2 linked regions of the Canis lupus familiaris genome follow. The protein of the gene in region 1 interacts with the protein of each later gene in a pairwise test. Links are inferred from orthologs where the notes say so. Each region holds a gene or a part of one and is shown in the gene's direction. Other genes may lie near its edges. The genes, in order: TROAP and DYRK1B.

Region 1 (4,513 bases):
TTTTGGAAAGATTGCTCTAGCTGCCCTGTGGCGAAGGTATTAAAATGGAAAGCAAGAGGGAATGGAGGGTGGGAGACTCTTCCAATCCACTAGGCTAGGTTAGGGTGGATTAGGGTGTCTGTGGTGAAGAGGAAGAGTAAATGAGTCCTACAGATACAAAAGTAGTAAGAGTGAACGAGAGAATGTAAGGGAACCAAGGAGTTCAGAATACCTCCGGGTTCTTGGCCTGAGTAATAGAACCCGCGGAAGTCAGGGACAGTCCTACCAGAGTCCTGTACACTTGTAACCATCACCACTTTCCCATGTTCCATTGGAGGTCACCCCTCCAGTCTAACCGGGATATTCTAGGTTCCCTCAGTTTCACACCCCTGCCTGCCAGTAACAGTGACACCGTCTTCCCTCTTCCATGCCTGTTGAGTGGAATGAGTTCCAGTGACGCTGTCTGAGTCTGTGAAATGGAGACCACGCCTGACCAGGCTGTGAGGCTCCTGTGAGATGGTTGGGTTATTTATTTAAAATTTTGCTTATTTATTCATGAGAGACACAGAGAAAAGCAGAGACACAGGCAGAGGGAGAGGCAGGCTCCCTGCAGGCAGGGAGCCCGATGTGGGACTCGATCCTGGGAACCCTGGGATCACGACCTGAGTCAAAGGTCGATGATCAAGGACTGGGCCACCCAGCCGTCCCTATTTATTATTATTTTTAAAGATTTTATTTATTTATTCATGAGAGACACACAGAGAGAGAGGCAGAGACACAGGAAGAGGGAGAAGCAGGTCCATGCAGGGAGCCCGAGGCGGGGACTCGATCCCAGGTCTCCAGGATCAGGCCCTGGGCCGAAGGCGGCGCTAAACCGCTGAGCCACCGGGTCTCCCCTATTATTATTATTTTTAAAGATTTATTTATTTACTTGAGAGAGAGAGAGAGAGAGAGAGAGAGAGAGAATCGGGTTGGGGGGAAGCAGAGAGTGGGAGAGAGAGAAAAGAATCTCAAGGGGAGTCTCCCCTGGGTGCAGAGCCCCACGTGGGGCTGGATCTCGCCACCCGGAGATCGTGACCTGAGCCAAAGTCAAGAGTCGGAGGCTTAAGCGGTTGAGCCCCCCAAGTGCCCCAAAGATGGTTCATCATCGTTGGGCTCAGTTCTATTGCCTCCAGCCCTCTCCATCCGTTTGGAGGCGCTTCCTCCTCCCAGGCACCAAGTGGAAAAGACGTTTCTTCTACGCGTCTGCAGCTGCGTCCCCTGAGCTCGCGCCGCGCTCGGGTCAGTCGGGTGTGGGGTCGCGCCCGCCGCCGGCGCCCTCGGCCTCTCCCGCACCGCCCGCCCATCCCGCACAGCCTGGACCGCTCCTGCTCGGAGCAGTCCCGAGACCTCGCGAGAGTCGGCAGCGCCCGTTGTGGCCGGGACTTGGAGGGCCACGCCTTCCCAACCTCAGAATGCCCGCCCTCTTTCTCTTTTCCCGCCCCCCTCCCCGCGCTCCGCTCTCCGATTGGCTGGCTGAGTCGGGTCAGTTTTTTCCTGGCCGGAGAGCGGCTCGACCACCAGTCCTTCTTCTGGCCCCGCCTCCGGAGCCCGTGGATTGGACAGCTCAGCCAGGTGTCACGCGCCTCCGGGGAGCGCAGAAGAGCCAATCAGGGGCTTGGCGTATTTTACAAACTGGGGAAGTAGCTGCTGCTGAAGCCAGTCAAGAAAGAGCGAATGAAATCGGGGTGAGCCGCGGTGGCTCCGAGGAAGGTGCGGCATGGAGATCGTAGAGGGAATGGGGGCCGCGGGGCTCATAGGGAGGAGAGGCAGCTCGGGGTCCTGGAGCCGAAGAGTAGAGTCGGGGTATCTGGAGGGAGGGGCTTCCTGCAGCGGCCTTGGAAGCATCGGGTCTTCTGGGCGCATGGGTTTGGGCGGAGGTGGGAGCTTCAGGAAGGTCGGAACTGATGCTTCAAACTGGCTGACCTTTGACCTGAGGTCCTGTTTCCCTCCCCACCTCAGCTGTAGCAGTCATGCCCACCCTCCAAGCCACGAAGGATCCGCTCCCCAGGGGCGTATCTCCCACCCCTAGCAAGATTCCCGTACGCTCTCAGAGACGCCCGCCTCTCCCCACAGTCAAATCCTGTGTCCTGGACCAGGAGAACCAAGATCCAAAGGTAAGAGGGGGTCTGTGGGTGAAGACAGTAGCTGCAAGGAGACAGCTCATGCCACCAATGCGCCCCAAAGCTGAGCCCCAGCCTTTTGTCCTCCCCTCCCCCAGAGATTGGTGCAGAAGTTCAGTATTCAATGCCCTGTCGACTCAGCAGGCCCCAGGCCGAAAGTCACACATCAAACAGAGAAATCAGAGAGATCACTGGGGAGCACTCAGCTCCGGAACCCCTTGGAGGAACTGAGGCCTAGCCCTGGGGTACAGAATGTGGGGCCTAAGCCTCCTCCCCAGACAGGTACCCTTTGGAGGCTTGAAAACACAGTCTCTTTGTGTGGGTGTGGGGGAAGGGGATGATGCATCCAGTGGGATTTGGGAGCTTTCCACTAACCTGGTCTCCTGCCTGCTCTGAATCCTGCACCCTGCTCCTGGTAAACTCTCTACTCCTGGAAGCCCTCTCTTTCCTTTAGCAAAATGTCATCTCTTCTAGAGCCTTTCCAGCCCCCTTAGTCACAATCAATTCCTCTGTGTTCTAATACTTGGCAGTACTTCTTTCATAACACATCCATGCCTTGGCTTGAGCCTGTCACCTCACTCTAGTTTGATGGTAACTTCCCGAGGCTGGGGGGTTTCTCATTCCTCTTTGAGCCCCAGTGCCTAGGATCGTGTCTTACATAAAGTTCCATGAACTTCGGTGAACTGAGTTCAATAATATGAGTCTCTTCAGCTCACTCTTGCACCACAAGGTGACTGCTGACTCTTCAGCCTTCCTCCTTCCTGTTCCTTTTCACCTTTCCTTCTCTTCTCTTGCAGAGGCTCCAGGGACTGTAGAGTTTGTGGCCGACCCTGCAGCCCTGGCCACCATCCTGTCAGGTGAGGGGGTTAAGAGCTGTCTCCTGGGGCGCCAGCCCAGTCTGGCTCAGAGAATACTGGTTCGAGGGAGCCAAGGAGGCACCACCCGTAGGGGCCAGGTAATAAAATAGACTATGAGGAGGGATAGAGGTCCTTAGGGCTGAGGACAGAACAGTGGCTGGTGTGGGCCAAGGAGGGAGTCCTGAGCTTGGGCTAATAGCCTCTTTTTGTGGTGTCAGGGTGCCCGGGCTTCTGCATATTTAGCCCCTAGAACCCCTGCCCACCGACTGGACCCTACCAGGGCTTCCTGCTTCTCGAGGCTGGAAGGACCAGGACCTCGCAGCCGCACCTTGTGTTCTCAGAGGCTAGAGGCTCTGGTGAGTGCCCTTGAGGAGCTGATGATGCTCAATGCTTCTGGGAGCTCCTCCCTGGGACAAAACTGGGCCTTAGGAGGGAAGATACCTCCTGACGAGCCAGAGGGGTTGTGGAGGCTGATGGGGCTGATGGTGAGGTCTGAAGCTTCAGAGCCCACCTCTGACTCTGCTTTTTTCCTCTTGCTCCCGTGGGTCAGATTCCACCTTCAGGACCTTCCTTTCACCCCTCTACTCACCCCAGTTTCCAGGAGCTGAGAAGAGTGACAGGTGGCAGCAGCCGGTGAGGGGGGAAAGGATCATTTGGAAGAGAATGATCCAGTGTCTGATTCAGGGTTCTTTCCAGTAGCTTTAGGACTTCCTAGCAACCCAGGAGGGGAAGGGGGAAATATGTGGGTGCCCAGGCTGAACCCTTGGAATAGGGTTCAGGCCTCTACGGCCAACCTTCAGTATGACATCAGTTTTTTCAGGTTGTGGGGGAAGAAGAAACAGAAATGAGAAATACTATCTCTTTTGTTTAGTGGCTAGAGCATAGATGATGGCAATGAATGGGATTTGGGTTTGACTCCTAATTCTCAGCACTTACTAGTGTAAGCTTGCCTTAACCTCCAGGTTTCAGGTTCTTTCATCTGTCAAATGAGGATAATTCTTGTATTGTTAGAGATTGTTGCACAAAGACTTACATGAGATGATGTTTGTAAAGCACTTAGCAAAGTGCCCAGCTCATACTTGGTACTCAGTGACTGCTAGTTGCTGTCCTTATTGTCATCAGGACTTCGGTGAGCCAGACCTCAGGATTGCTCCTGGAGACCCCAGTCCAGCCTGGTGAGTGTGTCCAGCCATGGGAAGAAGACAGGAGTAGGTGGGCTGCCTAAAGTTGGGAGCAAGACAGGAGAAAGCTCAGCAGTTGGGGAAGGCTGCATGAGGGGAAGGCCATGTCGGAAGGAGCCACAAAGGAAGGGATCCTGATAGGCTAGAGGTTGCCCTGTTGTACTTGTGTCAAAGGAGGTGGTCCCCACTTCAACCCTTTCTCTGCCACTTTCTATAAGATTTACCTTCCACTCACTGTTCTGTCCTCAGCCCTAAGGACCATCATCACCCCCTTAGCCCACTTGGGGCGTTCTGATTAATAAGTGATTACTGAGATAGTGCTGGGCTCCAAGGG
Region 2 (4,244 bases), on another chromosome or scaffold:
AAACACCATCAGGTCAATAAAGTGTCCCTAAGATGTGTTTGTTTTAAAAAAAAAAAAAAGATCTTCAGCCAGATTCACCATTTGTTAGCCTTTTGCTCCATTTGTTTCAGTATTCTCAGCATTGTTACTATTGTTAAAGAAGAGGAAGTAGAAAAAACAAACACAAAAACCTGGGTGTAAAATTTAAACACCAGCTTTAAGACAGTCTCTGTTGAAGCCTTCCTGTTCCAAATCCAAACCAAATTGAAAACTTCTCTAATGAAGTCTTTCCCTACATTTCCAAAACCTGAGTTTCACTGAGTTTCCAATAATTTAAAAAAAAATCTTTTTTTTTTTTTTTTTTTAAAGAGCAACAAAAAGGAAAACAGTCCAGTGCTTTGCTTATAAAATTCAAATTCTTCTGCAGGCCAACTGCATTGACTCCACAGCCTCTGCTGAGGCTGTGTTTGCCTCTGAGGTGAAGAAGATGCAGCAGGAGAACATGAAGCCCCAAGAGCAATTGACCTTAGAGCCCTACGAAAGAGACCACGCTGTAGTGGTGGGTGTGTACAGGTGAGCAGGGGCCGGCAGCCCACCTGGACAGAGCCCTGCCAGTCAGCACTTGGAAGGAGTGCCCCAAATGGTGACAAGCTCTGAATCTTCTATCTCCTTCCTCTCACAGGCCACCTCCCAAGGTGAAGAATTGAAGCCCGGCGCCATCTGGATTACCAGAGATTTGTGTTGCTACTGTTACACGTGTTTTTCTATTAAAAGACTCATCCAGGGGCACCTGGGTGGCTCTGTCACTTAAGCCTGGGCCTCTTGATCTCAGCTTAGGTTTTGACCTTAGGGTCGTGAATTCAACCCGGCCTTGGGCTCCTTGGGCGTGAAACCTATTTAGGAAAAAAAAAAAATTCATCATCGCTCCTGTATGCTGATCAGAGACCTCCGTTCAACGGTGCGCATGCGCCGTTTTTCAACTGGCGCGGTGGTGGGGGTGGACCAGCTCATCCGGTCCCTCGTGCGCATGCTTCTCCCTTGGCTGCTTTTTGCGCAGCCGTAACCCGGCTTCCGGCGCCTGGGCGGGGCTGATAGCTTACGGTGCATGTCTGCCGGTAGACCCTGCTGCGCGCAGGCGCAGAATGTTACCTTGGGTCACGTGGGGGAAGCGAATGGGGGGGGTGGGGGCGGAGCCCGGGGCGGGGGGGGCCGGTTTGTTGTGGTCGCCATTTTGCTGGTTGCATTACTGGGTAATCGGGCCCTGGCTCGCCGCGTCCGTCGGATACCTTCAGCCAGTGGGCAGGTCTGAGCTCGGGCTTCCCGAGCAGCTTGAGTCCCCTTGCCCGCGCCCTCAGGTAACAACGCGGCTACAGGTGGGGCGGCACGAGCTCGCGGGGAGGGGGCAGTACGGGCCCGCCCTGCCCGCGTCGCCGCGAGACTTAGCACGAGGCCGAGGGAGCAGAGCAGGGGGGCGGCGGGCAGGTGCAGGCCGTGCCTGGCTATTCATAGTCGGATTCTAGGAAGTGGCCGAGCCCGAGGGAGCAGCCTTGGGAGGGCGGCTGGGAGGGGGTAGCGGGGCCCGGCTCCCGCCCTTTGTTTGGGCTCGGCTCCTCCGGCTGCATCGTCGTCGCCTAGCAACAGCTGTTCTGAGCTGCGATTGGCTGAGCTCTTGGCAGCAGCGGCCAATGGCACGGTTGTTGCCATGGCAGGTGCGGACTGCCAAGCTCAGGCCGGCCCCGCCCGCCGGGCTCCGCCGACCGGGGCGGGCCTCCAGGGTGGGGGGCGGGACGCCTGGGTCCCCAGGGGCGGGTGGCTGCGCGGGGCGGGGCCGGCGGGGCGAGGGTTAACCCGCCCCTCCCCCGTCCACCTGCTTTCCCCTTCCCCCGCGTGCCCCGGGCTGACCCTCGTTCCCTCCTCTCCCCGCCCCCGGCGGCGGCGGCTGCTGTTGTCACCCACCCGGCCGCCTGTCCCGCTTGCCCTCCCCGCCGCGGGGCTTGCCGGGCCGGCCGGGCCGGGACAGGCGGCCGTCTCCTCTCTGCCGCCACCGCCGCCATGCTGGCCGCTCGCCCACCCCACTGGGGGCCCCACCGCGCCCCAGCCCCCCGTGGGCCCCGCGCCAGCCCTGACCCGGGTAGGGGGTGGGTGCTGGGAGAGACGGTCCTGCTGTGGGAGGGCCCCAGGGAAGAGGTTGTTTCGGGTGAGGGGCGGGGGAGCTCCGAGAGAGAGGAGGGATCGTGGAGTGGCAAGGCTTGGCATAGGAGAAAGGGATTGACATGGGAGAAGGCCTGTGGGGAGAGGATTTTGGTGTGGCAGGTACTCTGGGAGGGGAGAACTCTATGTGATATTCGGGGATTTTGGTTTCTGGGGGCCTTCTAGGAATGGCACAGGTGTGGATTGACCCTGGTGTAGAGAGGAGTAACTGGAGAAAGAGCCCTGGTAGGAATATTGGATGGGGGGAGGAGGGAAAGATACAGTGTAGGGGAGAGAAGGGCGAGGGAAGAGACGGCTCCTCCTTGCTCCCATCAGAAGAAGTGAGCCTTGATTGGGAGGGGGACCACGGACTAATATGGGGAAGAGCCCTTTTGTGGCACAAAGAAACTATCTGGTGGGGAGGGTCCCTGATGTGAGAGGAAATGGTATAAGGATAAGGTCTTGGCATGATATGGGGAGGGTCCCCTGGGAAGGGGGTGCCCTGATGGATGAGAATGCCATAGGGGTAGGAATTTTTTATATAGGGACAACTCTGTATAACAGGGTAACCTTGGTATGCTCTCCAGGACCCTGATGTGGTTTTAGGGGCCTGCAGAAGACTCTGCTATGGGTGTGGAGGGGGCCCAGAGTTCTCTTGTGGTTTGGGGGGAGGGGAATCCTAGACTTCTCTAGGATCTACTGGGAAGGGTAGATCTTGAAGTGAAAGGACCTTGCTGTGATAAGAGGTGATCCTGACAATCAGGGAAGACTGCAGGAGGGCAGGATCTGGTGTGAGGGGGCCCTGGGGAGGGCCATAAATAGAAATGGGAAGCAAACCTATACTGTCTGTGGTTTCTATCTTTCTTCTCTTTCTCACCCCAATTATTGGTGTCTTTTTGTCCTTTCTTGTCATGGCCTTTATCCCTGCCTGGCTTCCAATCATTCCCTTTCACATGTTCCCCTCTTTGTGCCACCTACTTCATTTATTTGGTAATCATTTGTTGAGGGACTCTGCTGTGCCCCCACCCCCACCCCACCATTTTTCACTGTCCCCTTTCTTCATTGCCACCTGTTGTCCTTTTTCTCCTCTCCCTATGCCCTACCTTCTCTCTGGTGTCCACCTCTTTCCCACCTGTCCCTGTCCCACACATCTTCTTGTTCCATGTTGTTCCCCTGCCTCCCGCCTGCTCTCAGGTCTCAGCGGCGGTGGCAGCCGAGGTGCAGGATGCGAGAAGGCGCCCCCCGGCCGGGCTCCCGCTCCAGGCCTCGCTCCCCTGCGGCCCTCTGAGCCCACCATGGCCGTCCCACCGGGCCATGGTCCCTTCTCTGGCTTCCCGGGGCCCCAGGAGCACACGCAGGTATGCGTTCAGCTGGCTCCTCACATGCCTGGGGTAGGGGGAGGCTGGGGATAGAAGGGTCTTGGGGCCAAAAGATTATTTGGTTGCCCAGAGCAGTCTCCTGGGGCCATGAAAAGCCCATCTGGAGTGGAAGATAATAGAGAAGTTGGTGGCAGAGACTGTTTGGATAGCCTGGGTTCAAATCCTGACACAGGGTTAAATTACTTAGGTTCTACCTGCTTCAGTTTTCTTTCTCTTAAAATGAAGCCAAGAATGATAACTACCTCGCAGGATAGTTGTGAGGTTAAGCAAGTTAATGAAATGCATGTAAAATGCTGAGAATAGTGCCTGGCACCTAGGAAACACCCAGTAAATGTTCACTAAGGAAAAAAGGTCCAGAGTGAAAGATGGGCAGTTGGGGTGCAAGGGGGAGAAGTCTGAGTCCAAAGGATCCTGGAGCCAGCAGCATCTTACACTACAGAGTAAAGATATTCAGGGGTGGAGACTGTCAGGGCTCTGAAATGTAGAGCTTGAAGCAGGATGGAGTAGGAGGTGCCAAGGTGCTGGCTCCCAAAAGACTGGGGCAAAATGTGCAGAGTTGGGGGTGAAGGATAGGAAGATACCACAGGATAAGGGTAAAGCAAGATGGCAGCCCTCAAGATGGGACACCCAGAATGATGGTGGACTGGGAAGGGCAGAGCCTATGTTTTCTATCTGATCTCTCCCACGGAGGTTCAG

The links.
Region 2: the proteins of TROAP (region 1) and DYRK1B interact in binary tests that used the Homo sapiens proteins (3 or more experiments, as listed by UniProt). The link is inferred for Canis lupus familiaris from reciprocal best matches to the Homo sapiens genes TROAP and DYRK1B.

The regions. Positions count from the first base shown.
Region 1 is NC_049248.1:41,359,170-41,363,682, forward strand, and holds the start of TROAP (tastin), read left to right. Parts: upstream 1-1,578; 5' UTR 1,579-1,731; intron 1,732-1,980; 5' UTR 1,981-1,991; coding exon 1,992-2,135; intron 2,136-2,239; coding exon 2,240-2,423; intron 2,424-2,938; coding exon 2,939-3,096; intron 3,097-3,216; coding exon 3,217-3,354; intron 3,355-3,548; coding exon 3,549-3,631; intron 3,632-4,120; coding exon 4,121-4,173; intron 4,174-4,513. UniProt on the Homo sapiens protein: Could be involved with bystin and trophinin in a cell adhesion molecule complex that mediates an initial attachment of the blastocyst to uterine epithelial cells at the time of the embryo implantation.
Region 2 is NC_049222.1:114,429,361-114,433,604, forward strand, and holds the start of DYRK1B (dual specificity tyrosine-phosphorylation-regulated kinase 1B), read left to right. Parts: upstream 1-1,177; 5' UTR 1,178-1,334; intron 1,335-2,381; exon of another isoform or gene 2,382-2,415; intron 2,416-3,363; 5' UTR 3,364-3,464; coding exon 3,465-3,527; intron 3,528-4,244. Other genes in the region: FBL (rRNA 2'-O-methyltransferase fibrillarin), read left to right, coding at 407-552, 662-686.